Mytilus edulis: one gene and its partners. The protein of the gene in region 2 interacts with the protein of the main gene of each other region in a pairwise test. Links are inferred from orthologs where the notes say so. Each region holds a gene or a part of one and is shown on either strand. Other genes may lie near its edges.

The links. The genes of interacting proteins can lie anywhere in the genome.
Region 1: the proteins of histone-lysine N-methyltransferase EZH2-like (region 2) and histone deacetylase complex subunit SAP18-like interact in binary tests that used the Drosophila melanogaster proteins (3 or more experiments, as listed by UniProt). The link is inferred for Mytilus edulis from reciprocal best matches to the Drosophila melanogaster genes E(z) and Bin1.
Region 3: the proteins of histone-lysine N-methyltransferase EZH2-like (region 2) and probable histone deacetylase 1-B interact in binary tests that used the Drosophila melanogaster proteins (3 or more experiments, as listed by UniProt). The link is inferred for Mytilus edulis from reciprocal best matches to the Drosophila melanogaster genes E(z) and HDAC1.

The regions. Positions count from the first base shown.
Region 1 is NC_092353.1:33,376,751-33,383,939, forward strand, and holds the start of histone deacetylase complex subunit SAP18-like, read right to left. Parts: upstream 3,023-7,189; 5' UTR 2,921-3,022; coding exon 2,855-2,920; intron 1-2,854. UniProt on the Drosophila melanogaster protein: Involved in the tethering of the SIN3 complex to core histone proteins. Interacts with bicoid (bcd) to repress transcription of bicoid target genes in the anterior tip of the embryo; a process known as retraction.
Region 2 is NC_092357.1:18,270,112-18,278,101, reverse strand, and holds the start of histone-lysine N-methyltransferase EZH2-like, read right to left. Parts: upstream 3,023-7,990; 5' UTR 2,839-3,022; intron 1-2,838. UniProt on the Drosophila melanogaster protein: Polycomb group (PcG) protein. Catalytic subunit of the Esc/E(z) complex, which methylates 'Lys-9' and 'Lys-27' of histone H3, leading to transcriptional repression of the affected target gene.
Region 3 is NC_092344.1:100,942,576-100,949,689, reverse strand, and holds the start of probable histone deacetylase 1-B, read right to left. Parts: upstream 3,023-7,114; 5' UTR 2,925-3,022; coding exon 2,879-2,924; intron 1,803-2,878; coding exon 1,690-1,802; intron 1,368-1,689; coding exon 1,250-1,367; intron 389-1,249; coding exon 314-388; intron 1-313. UniProt on the Drosophila melanogaster protein: Catalyzes the deacetylation of lysine residues on the N-terminal part of the core histones (H2A, H2B, H3 and H4).

The DNA of each region.
Region 1 (7,189 bases), on a different chromosome or scaffold from region 2:
TTTTTTGTCAGAATGTCACTTTATTTTGAACAATTGAAAAAAACATATTCATAGCAAAACACTTTACCAAAACATAATTAAGATTTATTCAACGCAAAAAACATTTTCAAAATGTCAATTTATCATATTTATTAGGAAAGGAAGAAAAAAAATATTTATAGCTTTTAGCAAAACACCTAATGGCTATTTGTCTGCAATTACTTGACATAAATATTTGACACCACATTTGGAAAAGTGATTGTTATATGGTGTCAAGGTCAAGAGGCGCAAATTCTAAGGTCAAGCAGTGCAGAATTCCAAATATCAATAAATTGTTTTAGACACTAACCAAAACTAAATTACAAAATTTTTAAACACAAAACCAATAAAAAGGATGCCAATGTGTATTGTGCAAAAGTGAAAGAGGGCAAACATGGAGTCAGCGCCTGGTTAAATGGGCACCTAGTCAGGTTTTGAGGTGAAAACACAGTCATTTTCGGTAGGTCTTTTCACCACTGAACACCCCAAAAATGTATTTTATCATTATAAATGTGATCTCAAAAAATTATTTAAGTTATTTTTTCAACAAATCATAAGATTAAGGGACCAAATATCTACATAGAACAGAAAAGGAGAGTCTATAACACCACACTTTTTGAACTCTGCAGACCACAAATATATTTTTTTTTCTCCATTTTTTCCCTTCTATGACTATGTCTTCAATAAAATATTTAATAGAAACAAATATCAAAATATAACTGATGAAATAGATCAAGGATACTTGAACTGATTACTATTAAATTATAAATGTATTTGTATTTTATTATTTATACTGTACACACACCGTGAATCCGGAAAAAATTATGCATCCGGAGACCTTTTTCTTTATATTGATTTTAGACTTTAACATACAAATAATGCTCATGAAACTCTTAATATTGATGAAAATAAACGTAATTTGAATTATTTTATCATTTTATTGTAATGCAGGTTTGAAATGGCCATAATTAGAAAAATGACGTTTGTGTACAATACTTTTCAATAACAATGGAAACTTATCTTTAGAAATGATTGTTATTTAAGGTTCATCATAACAAACGGACAAATATGGCTGTATTTACATGCCAAAAATTTCTCTGAGTACAGACTTACCTGTGAAGTTGGAAAAGTTTTAATGCCTGGCATCCACTAGATATAATAAAGTTAAATGCATTTTGTGTTTCAGAAAGATAAAGTCTCTTTTGGAATATGATGGGCATTCTTTTTTCCTTCATGCAAAAGGTCTGAAAATTATCTAAGTTGTGGTACAACTATGAGATGCTCCCTCAGGTAAAAAACCGGTTTGTATTGTTTTGATTGTCCTTAATTTACATGGACAAGAGGTATCTTCACAACTACAGGTGAGTTAAAGAGTTCATATGAGTCAGTGAGTGGACAGTATCAAAGTAATTCAGGTGTTTGTTTATTTTTACACCTTCTGCAGAAAGGGAAAAAAAATGCCCAGCAAAAACCAAAAAAAGATTTTATCTTTCTTTAACACAAAATGCATTTAACTTTTATATATCTAGTGGATGCTAGGCATTAAAACTTTCCAAACAGCAAAGGTAAGTCTGTACACAGAGTAGTTTTTGAGGTGAAAATACGGCCATATTTGTCCATTTGATATGATGAACCTTAAAAGAGTAGGGAAAACGTATTCTGCACTAATTTTGAACGCTGGTAATAGCGTAGTGATGTCAATGTGGAGTTTTCTCATGTGATAAGTACAAACACATATAACGAACGAACCAACATAATTTGCAACAAGATGACTGATAATTTGTAGACTACGGTAGGATATTTACATTTTTGTGCTAATAAACATGATAAATATTGTGCTTTTTTTATTGTCCAAATCTTTACAAATACTTATAGCTATCTAAACGTATTGGTGTGGATAGTAAATCACACATACAAATGTAATTAGATAGAGTGTGAGTTCGTGGTCTAGTGGTTAAGACCGATGGCTACAGTGCTGAAGGTCTCAAGTTCGATTCTCACTCGGGGTGCTAAAAATATCAGTACATCAGAAGGGTAATTTTCACCCTCTCACACACATCTCTGGTACCCAGACCGGAGTTTAAACTAGAATGGGTACTTAGGGGGCCGTGGTGTAGTGGTTAGTGCATCGGACTACTAACACAAAGGTTCCTGGTTCGATTCCCGTTTGGGATGAAAATTTTAGGAACTCAATTTTCGGCTCTCCCTTGACACCATCTGCGAGTATGGTCTTGAGGAAACGATGATAGTCCGTCGGAAGGGGACGATAAATGGCTGACCCGTGTTAAGAGAGAGCCATATCTCTTGCACGTTAAAGACACCCTTGTAGATTTCGAAAAAGAGTAGGCTAATGCCGCTACAAGGCAGCACTTGCACCCGCAAAGTGGAAAGGGATTAATATAAGTTGCAAAACTTGTTTCCCAATCCACTATAAATAAATATGTTTAAACTAAAGGGGGCCTCGGTTGGTCAAAGGTGTCCCCCCTACTTTGACCTGGAGATCAATCTTCTGATATCTCTCTGGTTTGTCTGTTTCCACCGAGTGGCCCCGGTGGTTCTCTCCGAGTACTTCGGCTTCCTCCACAATAATAACAGACTTCCCTGTGTCTTACACGCTCCCTTGGGCGGTGTTGGGTGGGGATTGTTCTGGTGGTGGGATAATATTGTAAAGGACACATCTCCATTAATCCTTAGGGAGTGTACATGGATCCGCTGTACCCTTGCAGTCAATCAAGGGGTGCGTCTAAATTGGCGGAATCTCGAGTACATACATACATAGAAACAAGTGCCTGTGCAAAAGGGACATAATTTTTTGGAACTTGCTGTGCTTTTATACCTTTTCTCTGTCTACTGGAGCTTCTGTCTCCTTCGGCTGTTCTTCCACAACGGATTCGACAGGCATTTTAAACTTTAAATACTATATTGCCTCTGAATTAAAAATAAACAGTTATTGTTCAAACCGGCAAGCTTTTTTTACAAGGGGAAACAACTTTTGTATGACGACAGTGCAGTGTTCATTACGTTACAGATATTGAGAAGTATGCCAAAGATAAATTCACTCTCTGGTTTTGTTAAGCAATTGATTTTAATCAAATCCATTGAAAAAAAATATTCAGAGAAAATCACAACCAAACAAAAATAAATAATTAGAAATAAATTATCAGGTTTAGAAATAAACTCAATCTAGACTCAGTTTCAACACTTTACTGTAAAATATTTGAAAGGGAAGTTACTCTAAATCCCGCGAAATTTATGAAGTAATCACTAACAGTACATTTAAAAAAAGACATACTAGATCATAACAGATTACAAGATTAGTCATAAAAAGTAACTTTTGTGGTTAGTGATCATTAGTGAAAAGTTGACACAAAAGGCGTAATGAAACTGTCATGAATTAATTAAGGGTAATACAGAACTTTTACAACAAGGAGTTATGAGGGGGAGGACAGGGAGAAAGGGGGTAGGAGGAATCTGGGTCCGTTCGCGCCCATTCACGTTCGCACCAACTAATGTTCGCCCCCTTTCACTTTCGCACCCTACATGTTCGCACCCAAAGTCTGTTAGCACCCTACATGTTCGCGCCCAATTTTAATTGGTTTTGTGTTTGATAACTTTGTAATCAAATTTTTGTCAAGTGTATTCTAATAAGTATAATTGTTGTCATCGTCTCAAAATAAAGTGAGACAGCATTTTGTTTGTGTTGATCAAATCTTAATCCTGTTTTGGATAGTGTATTGTTAAAAAAATTAATAATCCTTTCTAAATAAAGTGGGATTCTGTCAACGTTTTATTTTGTGCTGAATAACTCTTAATCATGTTTTGGTTAGTGTATTGCTGTAACTTTTGTTTCAAGTTGACTTGTTTTAAAATGAAAGGAGATTCTGACTACGTTTTTTTCTTCTGTGTTGAATAAATGTTATCATGTTTTGGTTATATAAATAGTGTATTGCTATATTTAATTGTGTGATTGTTTCAGGTCAAAGGGACCAAGCTGTTAAAAACAATTATCCGTTTTGTGTTTTTCATTTAAAATCTTCAAAGTTTTACTCATATTAAGCTATAAAAACATTCAGTATTTACACCAAAGCAACTTTAAACAACAATCATAATTTTCCAATTATTCAACTGGAATGTGAATTAAAATTGGGCGCGAATGTGTAGAGTGCGAATGGACCTTGGGTGCGAACGTGCGAGGTGCGAACGTGTAGGATGCGAAAGTGTTTTGGGCGCGAACGGACCTGATACCGGGTAGGAGAAAGGAGAAACGGGGTGGGAGAAAGGAGAAAGGGGGTAGGAGAAAGGAGAGGAAGGCTGGGAGAAAGGAGAAAAAATAAAATATCTCTCCTTTTAAAAAATGATCTAATATTTCAAGAAAAAATATCTCAAAAGGAGATGTTTTATTCTAATGGGAGAAAGGAGAACGGGGGTAGGAGAATGGAGAAGAGGGGTGGGAGAAGGGAGAAGGGTACCCCCTGTCCTCCCCCTCAGTTATTAGAAAAAAACAAAAAAACAAAAAAACTGAGAAAATAACAAGTATTTGACATAACAAAAATTTATAAATAAATTATTCTGAAAAAAAACTAACCAGGCATGTGCCTGAAAGTAAACATGGTTTTTTGTAACTGAAGAAGAAGGAAAAGATCCTTTAAATTTAAACTGAGACTACTATGATCATTATAATTATTATACAGTTGAGGGCTATTTTGAGAGGAGTAAAAAATTGGGAGGATTGGAAGACTTGGCTAGAAAAATATAATCCTGATCTTGAATCTTTTGAAAATAGCTATTGTGACCCTGTTACCGAATAACAAAAATGGGTTATTCCTCTTGATTTAACATGAATGCTATTGAAAATCTGTATTTTTGAAACTGAGTATTCAGTGCCAAAACATATTCATAGAGTGCAAAAAATGTTGAAAAAAAAGAACATCTGATTGTCCTTTATTTTGCCAAGTGAACAATCAAGGCTTTTATGAGCCTCTTGTTCTTTAGTCGTTTACAATATTCATTTTAGTGTTAAAGAATATGATGAGAAATAGATAGAATTAATGATAAATGTATATTTTTGTTTGCAGGAATTCCTTAGTGAGATGGACTGAAGGAGTTATTGTCAAAAAACACAAAACTGTTAGGTAAATATTTTGTAAAATTAAACTCATATATATGACACAACAGTCTGATTAGTCCTGATTAGAACCAGCCCCCACTATTTACTTGTTTCCACTAACGCAAGTGGATAGTGTGGGCTGGTTTTAATCAGACTGATGACACAAGATAACATGTATGGTCTGCACTTCTGTAAATATAAATTAAACCATGATAATACCCATAGGATCTCCTTTTATGGCTAAAACTGTAGTTTCCTAACCAAGTATATCCTGAAATGAAAAGTTGAGATGCACTGTTATCAATGATTATTATTTGCACATGTCTCATAGGGCTGTGCGGCATAATTAAGATATGTATATATGCATTGAATATCTAAGGGTTTAAACTTATACTTGAATTCTGTTCTTAAAGTCTCTCCCTTTACTTTCAGTCTTCCTGAAAATTCAATTTGACTGGTATCTAACTGTAACACTAAGACATAAACATGTCAAATTTTCAAGTTGTGTCTCAATGAGATGAAACATGAAGAAGGAATCCAGAAGGTAAACAGAACAAAATACCTATATAATCTTTCAAAATGGGCATGGTTTGTAAATCAGCTATTTTTACTAAGTGCAAACTTATATAAGCTATATTTCTGTACATATTCTGTACAAACCACATCAAGATTATTCAAAATGCAAACTAGACATTTTATCAATGAAACTAAAAGTATAATACCAGAGTAAATATTTTTATCACTTATGATAGTATTTGTTCCAAATTTAGCATGATGGACTAACATTATGGTATATATACATAGTTGGTTATATATTTGAATGTCATTGTGATATTTGTAGTTATTTGGTTTAATTTGTTTGAGGATCTAAATGGGAGATTCGTGTTATGTGTTCTGATGCCCTCTTTAAATAATGTATAAACTACTACTGAGTACTCTATTACAAATGTTTTATAAAGTTAAACTATGCTAATTAGAAAAATTGACCTCCCCTTTTTCTGAATATAAAAAGACCTGCTAGGTTTTATCTGATGACCTCAAATGTTTGTTGAATAGACTACTTTCGAGTTATGTCCTCCACAGGAAAAGTTTGTCAATTTTGTGCATCTTTATTACGTCATTTACCAGATAGAAGGAAGTGCCTGTATCCCTGCTCTCTTCAAGTTTATCTAGAATCTTTGTGATTGTCATTATGCAGGATAACCTAGAAATAATGTTTGTTCTTTTTAACATTGTTACTTAATCACAATTTCCTAATGACAGCAGTGCTGAATCTTAATTAAAAGAATTTAATTTGCCTAAAAATTCATGCAAAGACGTTTTATATTTTGATGGAAATGCAATAAACATGAAATTTGTCTATTTGGCAGCAAAAAGGGGATTTCTAGTGTTTTGATTCCCTAACTTTGGGAGCAAACATACATGCTTGCTTATCCTTATTTTTATCAACATGTGACATCCCTTCAATACAGTCAAGTGGTTTATTGTATACCAAGCTTAATCTGTGTGTTTATAATCACTAAATTATAATCATATATTCTTAAATCTCATAAATTTTCAAAAATATATTTAAAAACCAGTGTTAGGTTTCAAAAATATTTTAACCATTATAAGGCTAAGTTGTAGTTGCTACTGATTTTAAGGATATTGGGGTTTATCAGGGTTGGAAAATCACCTTTTTTGACAGTGAGCTTTAAACATGTAATGCAGACCCCCTTAAACCATAGAACTGATTATCAATTACCACCTAATGTAAAACGATACTTCATTTTGCCTTGAACATCACTTTTTATTGGCCTTTCTGAATCTGACCAAAATGGCTATTTTCTATGTATGCATAAATTAACATTATATTTATTTGAAAATTAACACATTTTTTTAGATAATAAACTGTATTACCATATTGAACAATGTTGTAAAATGTAAATGTTTTATTTTTAACAATAATGATACTTTTAATTTTAAATGTTCATTGTTACTTTTTTTTAACAGGTTATATAATCTTACTTGTAATTTGAATAAAAGTGTCTTTTCACTATCGGTAGATTTATCGATATTTGTCTT
Region 2 (7,990 bases):
ACAATTATATTTGCAAGATTTATGTTAGTTTTCTAATTTATGGGTTTATGTTACATATATGCCAGCTTGTGCAAGTTCAGGAATTATCTTCATGTAGCAATGTTTGTAATTTTTTTTTATATTTTAAATATTGTAGTATCATTTGATGTCGCAAGTTCTCGCAAACAAAAAAAATCATTCTTTAATTTAATGGTGCTTGCTTAACTACAAACCTATGTATATACACATTTACAAATCATAATGGGTAATGCAGGACCTAAATGAATCATTAATTATGTAGCACATTGTTATAACATGCATGTGGGTGTTTAAACGACAAATTGAAATTTTCATATTTTCACAATATTGAAATTAAACAATAAAAAAATATGGGAAAATTTAATATTGAGTGATTTAGGAAAAAAACTGGAACTATTTGTGTCTTTCTAAATATATATATATAAAATAACTGAATAATAGCCAACGATTTATAATCTTACGGGGCAATGGATCATAAAATTAAGATACAGTACACTACAAAATATAATAAATCACCAGTCTAAAAGGGTACAACATTTTTTTGCTTGACGGCTATTAAGCAGGAACAAGGTTCTCGCTAAGGATTTTTGAAGGTGAGTCCAGGGACTCGTTATTTTTAGCCATGATGAGTCCAACAGCAAGAAGAAAATATTTTGTTGCATTCTAATGTAATATTTTAGTCTTCATGGCCTAACAGAGCAATGAAATGACATTAAATTCAGATCACTTTTAAACTTTTGCTATAAAATGATGATATTTGTGTTAACTACATGTATGTTCATTTTATACAAAATATTTCAATTTTGATGCATCTGTGGACTCACCAGTTTTGGAAGTGGGGAGTCCAGACAAATTCCAAAAAAAGTTCAGGACTCATGGATTCGCCTTAGTGAGAACCCTGAGCAAGAAGACAACTTGCAAGGCTATTTTTCTTTTTTTCTTTGACTTCGTTGCAGGAAAACATCTTTTTAATGTATAATTTGAAGCCGTTGAAGGAAAAAAATAATGTAGCCTTGTATCAAATGTTTAACTTGAAATGCATGTGATACATGTATGTGGTATAAACAGATAGAGATGAAGGGAGTCCATAACAATACCATGCATAATAAAGCTGGGTGGAAATAATTTATAATGAAGACAAAAACAGCACTACCTATGCATAATTTAAGAAGATGAGCTGTGTTGATGTGTTAACGTCAGTAAAAAAAAGTACACTCTGACATGACCCATTCATTTGTACACAACGACAACGTGATTTACTAGGAAGGTCAGTTCCTAGCATTGGGATGAACATTTTAAAAACTTACCATCCATGCAACTATGGTGTTTTCTATGGAACATAGCTTGACGTTCAACTACTTCAAAACACATGGTTTAACGATTTCATTTCGGTTGAAGCAGAAAGGAAGTATCAGCTGATTATGACAACTGGATCCCCTCCCAATTTCGGCCTGGTAAATTGCGATTCATCTGAGAACCACATTGATTTTTCAAGACAGAAAAGTATCACAATTACCTAATTTAGCGATTTGAGCTTTCTTCTATACACTTTATCACTAATGTTTTACGTTTATAAACTAGTTTGAACATCAATCTAGGCCAATTGAAGAACTTTATTCATTTTTCCTAAGCCACCCCCATTTTCGCTCCAGAACGCCATTTTTGTTGTAATCAGCTCAAAGAAACGGAAAAATTAGGAAAATTAATACATCAATCACTACGAAATTTACTCAATACACGAACAAATCATATACCTTTCAGAAAATGTAAATTTTTTCACTCATCTTCGTATTTTGAGGAAGAAGTATAAAAAAAGAAAATGATGTTAGGACCGCCCAATAGGCGGGATAGGGTGAGGTCACTTCGGTCATTATGCAAATTCATTCTATGGAGCCGTGTACTTTTACTGCGATCGTAAAAGTTATTTATTTTGCCAGAACCATTTTAAACTTCTTATTTTTAGCATAAAATTTGATAAATATGGATTGTAATACTTACATATCGGGTGTCAGTTTGTTTAGGTGATGCAAATGTCAGCCATTAATCAGAGCTAGTTTATCATTTTCCAGATGCATCACGGGTAATCTCACAAAATCTTGCGTCGCATAAGATGTTATACTACAGTCTATGCAAAAGCTCACGAGATTCCAATCCTTCTAACTATACAAATCCTTGCTGAAGTATAGTATTTAATTATGTCCACTTTCAGGGACACTTTTTCATACCTGAGGACAGTTTTTCATAGAAAAATGTGTCCAGGACACATATAAATAAGTTAATATTGTCCCAAGACCCCGTATTTACTAGGAAATTATGTCCGGTGGACACTTTTTCATTGGGGACATTATTAAATCCTACAATGTTACACTACTAAACTATAGGAATGTTTAACAAGTTTTCATACCATAATATGGTTTTAAAAAAACAATGCTCCATTTTGGTGGAATAATTTGTTTTGAAAAACAAGGAATTATACACCAATTGGTCTATACCATTATATGTCAATTGGTGGATTAAACGTCAATTGAGGTATAATCCACCAATTGGTGGTTATTCCTGACCTGTCCATACTTCACGTGAAAACTCATTATAAATTATTTTCATCTACAACAAACAAGAAGTATTCTATACATCTTTAATGAGCATGGATTTATATAGGCTGAGTTGTTATCCAATCTTTTTGTTTAAATAATTCCGACAACAGTCAACAGTAAAATTTGGAAATTTTAAATTTCAAAATCATCACAACAAAGAAACTTCCATTATATCCTACTGGGATAAGTCATGTGTTTCTCATTTAAGATTGTTAAACAATTTTACCGTCTCTAAGGTTAATCTATTTCTGTTGGAGCTCTATAATATCGAAAACGATTAAAATACTATGTCGTTGTTGTTTGGTGTGTTTATGGCGCTAAATTTCTATTTCCTCCTTTCGGTTTTCTTTGGTTTTTACTATACGAATATTTTTAAGGGAAACTTGTTTCTACCTTCTTTGAATACGCCGTTTGAAATGGCTTCGGCGGTAACCAGACAATCCTGTCTATATAAACGTTAATTCTGTATATATATTATATATATTCCTAAAAATCAATTAATATTTTGATAATTCACAATTTCTCCAATCATTTAATACAATTTTTCATTTTTGATAATATAGTATCATTAATGAATTATAAGAACCAAGTGAGAAATATGACATTTGTCATAAATTCGACGTTTGATGTGTTTGCATGAGGTTTAATTTTGGCATTTGATTAGGGACTTTCTTGTTCAAATTTTTCCTCAGAGTTCGGTAAGTCGACGAGAAAAGAAAAATATTTAGTCGACATTAGTACACTAATGTTCAAATATCTAAAAGAGGGACGAAAGATACCAGGGACAGTCAAACTCATAAATTAAATCTAAAACAAACTGACAACGCCATGGCTAAAAATGAAAAAGACAAACAGACAAACAATAGTACACATGGCACAACATAGAAAACCAAAGAATAAACAACACGAACCCAACCAAAAACTAGGGGTGGTCTCAGGTGCTCCGGAAGGGTAAGCAGATCCTGCTCCACATGTGGCACCCCTCGTGTTGCTTATGTTATATCAAATCCGGTAAATAGTCCAATTCGGACTCAATATACAATAATCGTTTTTTCAGATTGAAAAAAAAACCCTAACGTAGAATGTAATGCACTAAATGATAAAAAAAAGAAGATGTGGTATGATTGCCAATGAGACAACTATCCACAAAAGACCAAAATGACACAAACATTAACAATTATAGGACACCGTACGGCCTTCAACAATGAACAAAGCCCATACCGCATATAGTCAGCTATAAAAGGCCCCGATAAGACAATGTAAAACAATTCAAGCGAGAAAACTAACGGCCTTATTTATGTAAAAAACTGAACGAAAAACAAATATGTAACACATAAACAAACGACAACCACTGAATTACAGGCTCCTGACTTGGGACAGACACATACATAAATAATGTGGCGGGGTTAAACATTTTAGCGGGATCCCAACCCTCCCCCTAACCTGGGACAGTGGTATAACAGTACAACATAAGAACGAACTATACAAATCAGTTGAAAAAGGCTTAACTCATCAGATAGACAAAAAATAAAAGTGGACGTGGCCGGGTGCTTATATATCCCGACACAAAAAGACACAATGAACAGATCTGAGAGTACTCGCAGTTATCTGACAGCTAGTTCAAAGCCATTAACAACTAATAAAAAAATCATGCCTCTAAGACTAAGCAATCAATCCGTACACATCCAACATTCAATGGATTTAGTGTAAAGACGTCATAAATAGCCAAAGAAAAACATGACCTTGTGCAATGCCAAGTTACAGGTATCGACAGATTGTAGATTTATGTTAATGTATATGTATATAACATACTAGTAATATTTAGTTAGCTTTTAATCTACTTATAACAAAGTAAATTTTCATACCAATAAAACAATATTCAATGATCTTATCACAGTGTTGAATAGGTAACCTTTAAGAATAAGTTTATTTAAAGGAGCAACAAGTTTACATGGATCATTTCTAATTTCCGGGCACCGTTAACAACATTTCCGTTAAAATGAGGATGTGCTATCCCATTTGAAATAAGTTTTCTACAGGTACAACCAAACTTCAAAACCAAATCTTTATATCTATGGAAAAATTTAGTAAAGGTTTTAAGTAATTATGGTAACGATATCCCTGGTTTAATATAGCCCTTATTACTGCTCTTGGTACCTTTTTTATCAACCAAAAAATTGAAAACATTTTATGTCGTATGTTCTTATTTTCGATTGATTAATTCTTGATTAGAAGACTTAAAGTTGACACATGTGACTTCACCAGTACTTGACATGGACGGATGCACATGCAGAATTGTGATGGTAAGTGAATTATTAATTAAGGATAATAATATATTTTGTAGAATTCGTTATACTTATCTATCTATATAGATATTGTCAACAGACTCTGAGATCTGTCGTCATTATACATTTATAAAATAAAATCACGGTGATTCACATTCATGAAAGGGAAGGGGATTGTAGTTACGACGTAAGGAACATATCCGATATCATTTGTGAAACGGTTATTCGACGTAAAAAATATTACCTTATCAAACATGTCAAAGGGACATGAGGAACATGACGGGTGCCACATGTGGAGTAAGATCTAGATTAGCTTACCCTCACAGATCTCCTGAGTTAACCAAAAGTTTTTGATGGGGTTCGTGTTGCTCAGTTTTTTGTTTTTTGTGTTATATTTGTGTACTGCTGTTTTAAAATTTGTTTGTCTGTTCCTTTATTACGTTTTCAATTTATTTCCGATTTGTGAGTTTGAATGTCCATTTGGTATTGGTATCCTTAGCCTCTCTTTTGTTAGGCCACTTTTATGATTTATTTTATCGGTATCAAATATTTTTATCACAGATCAACCCACATTGGTTGCACTTGTATATAGCGAAAAAATCACGACGTCTTCTCTTCCTAAAAATAAAAAATAACCGAACGAGTTGTATTTATTCTTGAAGAGAGCAACACTGTGTGTGAGGGAATAATTTGGCCATACGGTCGAGTTCACACAATTGAGGATTTAATTTGCTCATTCATGTGTTTTCTGTGTAGTATTTTGTAGACTGTTTGTTATTCTTTTATTGAATCCTATAGTTTTGTTGTCTCAAAATTAAGTTCTTCGGTTTATTTTTTTATATTGAAGGCCACACGGTGACAATTTGTGTCCCTTGTGGAGAGTTGTCTCATTGGCAATGATATATATACCACACCTTTTTTTTCTATATATCGTGTACATATTTTATTACAAAAAGAGATGATTTCACCTTCCCAATTGTGAACTTTCCTTTTCTATGTAATTCCATAAAAATCTGCACACGAAGTATATATCTCCCAGTTGATACGATATTGTATTTTTCTATCACGATTTCCTTTACAAAGGGTTGCTGATCAAAAGGAAGCTATTACACCAAGAATTTCAAGTGGTGAAGTTGAAATAATCCCCTCTTTAATTATACGGACGCCATCCATAAATTTGTTGAAATATTATGATATATATATATATATATACCCGTTTCACAGATGATAGCGGATATGTTTCTAATGTCGTAATAACACTATTAGAAGTATTTTTAATGTTGCAATTAGCAACTCGACGATTGCCGCATGTGGAGTACGATATGCTTTCCCTCCCGGAGCACCTGAGATCATCCCTATTTTTATTTGCGGGATTCGTGTTTCTCACTCGTTATGTATTCTCTTTTGTATTTTGTGTACAATTGTCTGGTTTTTTTTTATCCATTTTAAACCATGGCGTTGACTAGTCAGTTTATTTTTCGACTTATGAGTTTGAATTATCCTTGTATCTTTCGACTCTCCATTATTGTAATAGAGATCACAAAGATTAAAAAATCACATTCCTGCGCAATTCAAATTCAGAAATGAAGATCATAACATTGACATATTCTAGCAGCTAAACACAACACTTATCATTTTAAGTGGTTTTACATGTACTTAATACGATTCTTGATCTTGAGTGGTTATTTTGAAATATTTATAATTGGTTTCGCATTCTTATGGGATACATGTATTTGTTTTGAATTTTTTCAAATTCTAAGAGGCTAACTCCCATAAATAAACGTAGTACAGTAAAAGAAGTAAGAGATGGAAGATATTTAAAAGAGATCTTCAAACTAACAAAGTAAAAACAATCGATAGCGCCATGACAGACATGACAGAAGAAGAAGAAAAAAGGACAAGAATAGTCTACAATGATAAATAATTGTAAACGAGTAATGAACAAATATGTAGACTACATACTTTTCTTGATAAAAAAAAAACTGATTCAGAGGTCTCGTGATCACTATTAAAAGGGAGGTCGAGGGTTTGGCCACGTGACGGACAATACCAAAAACGTAATAATAAAATATTGCTCTGCCCCCCCCCCCTTTCTCCCAATAAAAATACAAAACATGTAACGTGGAGAAATAACAGTAACGACAGCTTGACTAGAAGTCAGAATATTATGTGATTCTGCACACCGTTTCCTTATAAATAAAGTAACATGTAAAAACATACATTTTTATTCAGTTTGATGGTTAAACATTCGTTGGGTGTTTATTTGTGTTGATGTTTTTGAGGTAAATAACATGTCTCATTTGTTAAATATTTGATCAAAACTAGAATATTTGATCAAGCTAATCAATACTTGAATCAATTATTGGATGGCTCGCCAAAATATTTTTTTTGTATAAATACTGTGTAAATAATGTTTGTTTACAATTTTACCTACTAAACATGTGAATTTTAGAGTGTATTTAACGAGAAAATTAAGATATTCTTCATATACTTGTAACTTATATGTTGAAACAGAACGATATCACGGTGTTAATAGATCAGAAAAAATGTACCCTCTGTACTTTAAATACAATAGAAGACGAGTTTCATTTAATTTTACAGTGTGATTGCTATAATGCAATAAGGAGCAAGCAAGCAAGCAATTAAAAATAAATAAACTTCTTCTAAATGTGGACAAATTAAAGAATTTTCCTCAGAAAAAAGTATATGTACATAAGTTGTAAAATGAAAACTATCCATTTAGTTATAAAAAGACATATGCATGATTTTTTTTAATTTGAGGTTTCTTATGACTTAAAGCCATATTATTATAAGCGACCATCGTCATTTAAGCTTATACAGTTGTTGAGCACAGAAAATGTAAACGACATATGTAACCTTTGTAAAAAAAATTTCCATGCATTTAAACGTAGAACAGGCATGTTATAAGTTACCAATCTTTAATATAGATCATCATTCTTCTCGGATGTATTCATTTATCAGTTATGTATGTTTTATGTATTTATTTATTTATGATATATTTGTATTTGAATATATATTATATTTGTACTGATAAGCTTTATTTGCTCGAAGTAATAATAGAATTGCATTGAA
Region 3 (7,114 bases), on a different chromosome or scaffold from region 2:
ACAATATTAGTTTATTGAGATATCACATTCCTATAGCTAGAAAGTCCTAAAAAGGCCACCACATGCCAGAGTACCCTTATAAATGTACTACATTTGATGGTACAGGTTCACTATACTGCACTCAGATAAAATGGTTTTAGTACTTTGAATATGCATAATTACTTCTAAAATATAATTTTCAAAAATGTTAAAACAAGAAATTTGTTCTTGTCAGAGTATATGTGATACTAATCTACAGAATTCATACATTCCATCAAATCAAAAACAGGGCAGTCATCTCCAACGTTAACTTGTCAGAGTATTTAATACTAACCAACAGAGCCACCAGTTGACAGCTGACAGAACTCATACATTCCATCAAATACAGGGCAATCTTCTCCAACGTTAACTGAAAAGATTTATAGATCTTATAATTTACATTTATTTACATTAGTACAATTGACCGGTATTATCAAAGTATTCATAAAAACTTTCAGTCTGCACGGTTAGCCACTAGTCCGATGCCCCAGACTAGTAAAATTTCATTTCGGACTAGTAAGTTTTTGCAAAACTTTGTTTGGCCCAATAAGAAAAATGTCAGAATATTGGTCTTCGGACTAGTAGTTGAAAAAGTTTTTGGTGCAGACTGTTATTTGCTATGGCCTTCAATAATGTTCAGCTTTGAATTTATGTTTCAACAAAAAATAAGTACTGAAATGAGAGCAACTATTCTGTAGACACTTTTTTCAGACGATTAAATTTACTTAGTAACTTTGTAATTCACACATATAGTATTTAATTTTAGTTATTCTTGGTCATTTAAAATTTAATTTGTTAAAAGTAAAACTTTAACCAGTATGGACATGATGGATAAATGGTGAATGTGTCACACAATGGGACACAGATGATGCCCCCACTTGCATATAATGTCCGAAAGGGACATATGAATCCCAGAACTGTAAAAAGTGACTGCCCAAATTTGTACTTGATCTGATTTTTGTTGTAAAAAGCATTGGGTATAAGTTACATAACATTTGATTAAGACAAACTAAAGTAAAAAATCAGAACAGAAACGAAACATTCAACAATTTTTCCATTTGTTACTGTAAAGGGGCATAACTCTTGAACTGTTACAACTTATTTTAAGCATTGAATTAAAAGACGATTTTTAATTGATTGATGTTTGATTTTTGCCGTATTAGCTTCAAAAGGCTATACTGTAGAGATGTTACTAAAGAGAGATAAAGTTAATAACATTATATATTATTACATCGCTGCATCTGTTTGTTGTAGTCCGACATGTTATCTGGTCTTATACTTCGTAAAAACTTGATGTAGTCATCACTGTGGAACTTTGTCATTTCTTCTTGTGTGGCTTTGTGTGGTCTCTGTTGAAAAATAATAATTTATATAAAAAAACTTTTCTAGATCTGCGTCTCTTCATTTTCTGTTTAATAATATGAAAAACTACATAGTCATCAATTAATGCACCAATGCTCTTAGAAAAATAACTGAGAAGATTGTGGGTCACAATGTCATCCACCAAAATATTAATGAACTACAATGTATGTCAAATAAATGTAGTGTACAATACAATACTATTTATAATAAAGATCGTTTTGAAGGAAAAAAGTTTGGAATATAATATTATTTATACTTGTAGAGACTGCAGAAATTTTATTGATCAACATTATTTATACTTGTACTTACATAAATTTCCATCTTCCTATAAAGTCCATAATTAAGTATAAGGTTGTGTGTCATACGTATTCTGTGTGGCTTCATGGGATGACCTTGGCCATAGTAGTAATTTCCAATGTCTCCTATTCAATGGAAATATTTAATTATTCAATTATGATTTCAAGTGAGAAACTGAATATGGAAATATAGCTGTACAAGAATATTAGATTGGTTATCCAAAATTCAGGACATTAAAAAAAGCTAGAGCATGGTTTTCACAAAGAATTGTTCGTGAAAAGTTCAGCAAGCCAACTCATCACTTTGGACATATTAAACAAGTCCATAGTTCTGACAAAATTAGTATCTGTCATCTACTTATTCAAAGCCTCATCATTTATTTTAGTCTTACAGTTTTAACGAAATACATGTATAAACAAAATTCTATTTAAATTATATTTCAATTTTTTATTATAAATTTCTAGTCTGAATAACAAGCCTCAATTTCACCTTACAATAATTCATTTTATAGTCAAAATCATATTATTAGCTACCAAAGAGTTAGAAAAATAGAAGATTCATATTTGAAATGAGACCCCTTTCCCTAAAATAATTTGAGGAGACAATGACATTGCATTATTTATCTTAGTTTCACAATCCTTTGTCCTTTGGTCCCTACTATAGCATAAAATATAAAAGAAAAATGGGCTTCCATAGATTGAATTTTAATGTTCTATCAGCAAATTCAAAACTTTTGATAATAAAAGTAATAAAATGCTTGTTTCATATCATAAGGGTTGCAAAATGCTCTTTCCCTTAAATAATTCAGCCAAAAACGATTTTTAACTGAAATAAAAGTGTTTTAAAAAAATTGTTACTTTCGTACGCCGAGCATGGGAAAATGGGCTTCCATAGTTTTTCAAAGGAAATAGGCGCGATTTTGTATAATTAGTGTTTCTCTGCAATAAATTAATTCAAAACAATACCAGAACAAATATAATATGTCTTTCATCATAAATAAACATAAAAAATGATTTAACAATACATAATTTCAGATTTTTACATCCAAACGTGAGCGGCTTTTTGGGGCCTGCATAGGGGAACGGACGCTTCCAACAAAAGTTTTTCCTATTAAGTGAGTATAGTACCACTTTCAGTCCCCTTAAAGAAGCAATCGATATATTTGAGAGGTCGAAAACTAAAATATTGTTTATGAACATACCATCGTAATAATAACAGACTCTTTTCTTGCTGTGTTGTGAGGCCATTGTTCGAGTCAAGCGATGTTAAATTGCAGCGCCCTCTATTAACAACGAACGACAATCAAGTATAGTTCTTCCCGGAATAATTTTAAAATAAACTTGTATTGGAATTTTGTCGAATCCGAAACTAGATATTTAAAGTATCCACGAAAACATTTTAATTAATTGATTAAATCTAAGAATAATTTAGCCCCTTATTGAATTTAAAATTAAAACAAAAGGACTAAATACTTAAGAATTTTCAACAGGAACTTTCCCTCGAGTATTGTATTATATGTCTCTGAGTATAGAGGGGGAGGACAGGGGGGTACCCTTCTCCCTTCTCCCACCCCTCTTCTCCTTTCTCCTACCCCCGTTCTCCATTCTCCCATTAGAATAAAACATCTCTTTTTGAGATATTTTTTCTTGAAATATTAGATCATTTTTTAAAAGGAGAGATATTTTATTTTTTCTCCTTTCTCCAACTTTTTCTCCTTTCTCCCAGCCTTCCTCTCCTTTCTCCTACCCACTTTCTCCTTTCTCCCACCCCCTTTCTCCTTTATCCTACCCCCTTTCTCCCTGTCTCCCTTACCCCTGTCCACCCCCTCAGTATACTAACTTGTCACAGTCTTAGAATTGTAGAAATTCATGATGACATGGTTTCTTTTGGATATATTTTATCGGGATAAGTTTTAACTTGAGTTTTATCAGTATTGAAAACGTTCGACCACTGAACTTACTTTTAAATAGTTCTTAATATTTTAAAAGAATTACATTGTGTCATGATGTAATATTTTTGTTCGACCAGTCCCAGATGCGGATTTAGGGGGGGGGGGCAGGGGGCCCGGGCCCCCCTTTTTGGGGAAAAAATCGGTTGCTTATCACAGGCACTTGTTTCTATCCATACGAAGGTCGACTATCCATTTATATGGATAGTCGACCTTCGTATGGATAGAAACAAGTGCCTGTGTTGCTTATATAGGGAATCACTGAAGCGACACTCGAGCAGGCCCCCTCTTAATTAGGTCAGTCAGTGGGCCCCCACTTATGAAACTTGAATTTCTGGATCCGCCACTGAGTCCTATTTAGAAGTCAAGTAACTTGTGATAACTGTCTAGAGTGTCTTTTCCAATGAAAGATTAGGTACTAGTCAACGGTGATGACTGCAGACATACTTAATTAAATGAAGCATCTTGATAAAAGGAGAAGTATGAATATACGGCAATGAGATACAGACAACCGGCCATAAAAAAAAACCACAAGACATCGAGGCATCTTAATAAAAGGAGAAGTATGGATAAACGGCAATGAGATAACAACCAAACAAAATGAAAAAAAAACCAACAAGACATGGCGGCATCTTAATAAAAGGAGAAGTATGGATATACGGCAATGAAATAATAACCAACTAAAATAAAAAAAACTACAAGACATGGAGGCATCTTAATAAAAGGAAAAGTATGGATATACGGCAATGAGACAACAACCGGCCATCAAAAAAAAACCAAAAAAAACACAAGACACGGAGGCATCTTAATAAAAGGAGAATTATGAATAAACGGCAATGAGAAAACAACCCCCCCCCAAAAAAATAAAAAAAATACAAGATATGGAGGCATCTTAATAAAAGGAAAAGTATGAGTATACGGTAATTAGACAACAACCCAACAAAATAAAAAACACAAGACATGGAGGCATCTTAATAAAAAGAGAAGTATGATATACGACAATGAGAGGCAACAACCAAACAAAATAACAAAAACTTAAAGACATGGAGACATCTTAATAAAAGGAGAAGTATGCATATACGGCAATGAGATAACAACCAAACAATAAAAAATGTACAAGACATGGAGACATCTTAATAAAAGGAGAAGAATAAATATTCGGCAATGAGATAACAACAAAAAAAAAACAAAAAAAAATACAAGACATGGAGGCATCTTAATAAAGGGAAAAGTATGGATATACGGCAATGAGATAACAACCCAACAAAATAAAAAAAAATACAAGACATGGAGGCATCTTAGTAAAAGGAGAAGTATGGATATACGGCAATGAGACAACAACCGGCCATCAAAACAAAAAAACCACAAGACATGCATATGGAGGCATCTTAATAAAAGGATAAGTATGGATATACGGCAATGAAATAACAACCAAAAAAAAAATAAAAAAATACAAGACATGGAGACATCTTAATAAAAGGAAAAGTATGGATATAAGGCAATGAGACAACAACCGGCCATCAAAACAAAAAACCACAAGACATGCATATGGAGGCATCTTAATAAAAGGAGAAGTATAGATATACGGCAATGAGATAACAACAAAACAAAATAAAACAAGAGGCTGTCACAACGACAGCAAACCGGATTTCAATATGATTAACATTTATTCATTTATTTGTGTCCTGGCAATATCACAAGAACCATAACTCCTGAACGGTAAAAGTCAAAATCGACATTATTAAACTTGACCTCCATTTTGTCATCAGTAACAACATATTAAAATTTGAAAAGCTTTGGGTGAACAGTTCATGAGTAAATGCACGGACATGACTGGAAACGCCATTTTTCAATCTTTCAAGAACCATAACTCCTGAACGGTAAAAGTCAAAATCCTCATTCTTGAACTTGACCTCCATTTTTTCATCAGTAACAACATATTAAAATTTGGGAAGCTTTGGTTGAACAGTTCATGCGTAAATGCACGGACACGACTGGAAACGCCATTTTTCAATCTTTCAAGAACCATAACTCCTGAACGGTAAAAGTCAAAATCGTCATTCTTGAACTTCACCTTCATTTTGTTGTCAGTAACAACATATTAAAATTTTAAAAGCTTTGGATGAATGGTTCATGAGTAAATGCACGGACAACATTTGTTTGCCGCCCGCCCGACCGCCCGACCGCCCGCCGTACATCCCCAAATCAATAACCGACATTTTTGTCACAAAAATCCGGTTAAAAACTACAAGGCATGGAGGCATCTAAATAAAAGGAGAAGTATTGATATACGACAATGAGATAACAACCAAACAACATAAAAAAACACATGACATGGAGGCATCTTACTAAAAGGAGAAGTATGGATATACGGCAATGAGATAACAACCAAACAAAATAAAAAAACACATGACATGGAGGCATCTTAATAAAAGGAGAAGTTTGGATATATGGCAATGAGATAACAACCAAACAAAATAAAAAAAACACATGATATGGAGGCATCTTAATAAAAGGAGAAGTATGGATATACGGCAATGAGATAACAACCAAACAAAATAAAAAAACACATGACATGGAGGCATCTTAATAAAAGGAGAAGTTTGGATATATGGCAATGAGATAACAACCAAACAAAATAAAAAAAACACATGATATGGAGGCATCTTAATAAAAGGAGAAGTATGGATATACGGCAATGAGATAACAACCAAACAAAATAAAAAAAAACACATGATATGGAGGCATCTTAATAAAAGGAGAAGTATGGATATATGGCAATGAGATAACAACCAAACAAAATAAAAAAAACACATGATATGGAGGCATCTTAATAAAAGGAGAAGTATAGATATACGGCAATGAGATAACAACCAAACAAAATAAAAAAAAACACATGATATGGAGGCATCTTAATAAAAGGAGGAGTATAGATATACGGCAATGAGATAACAACCAAACAAAATATAAACTACAAGACATAGAGGCATCTTAACAAAAGGAGAAGACAAATATGGATATACGACAATGAGATAACAACCAAACAAAATTTAAAAAAAAAAACCCACAAGACATGAATGCATCTTTATAAAAGAAGAGTATGGATAAACGGCAATGAGATAACACCCAAACAAAATAAAAAAAAACTACAAGACATGGAGGTATCTTAATAAAAGGAAAATAAAATTGAGAATGGAAATGGGGAATGTGTCAAAGAGACAACAACCCGACCAAATAAAAAACAACAGCAGAGGGTCACCAACAGGTCTTCAATGTAGCGAGAAATTCCCGCACCCGGAGGCGTCCCTCAGCTGGTCCCTTAACAAATATATACTAGTACAGTGATAATGAACGCCATACTAATTTCCAAATTGTACACAAGAAACTAAAATTAAAATAATACAAGACTAACAAAGGCCAGAGGCTCCTGACTTGGGACAGGCGCAAAAATGCGGCGGGGTTAAACATGTTTGTGAGATCTCAACCCTC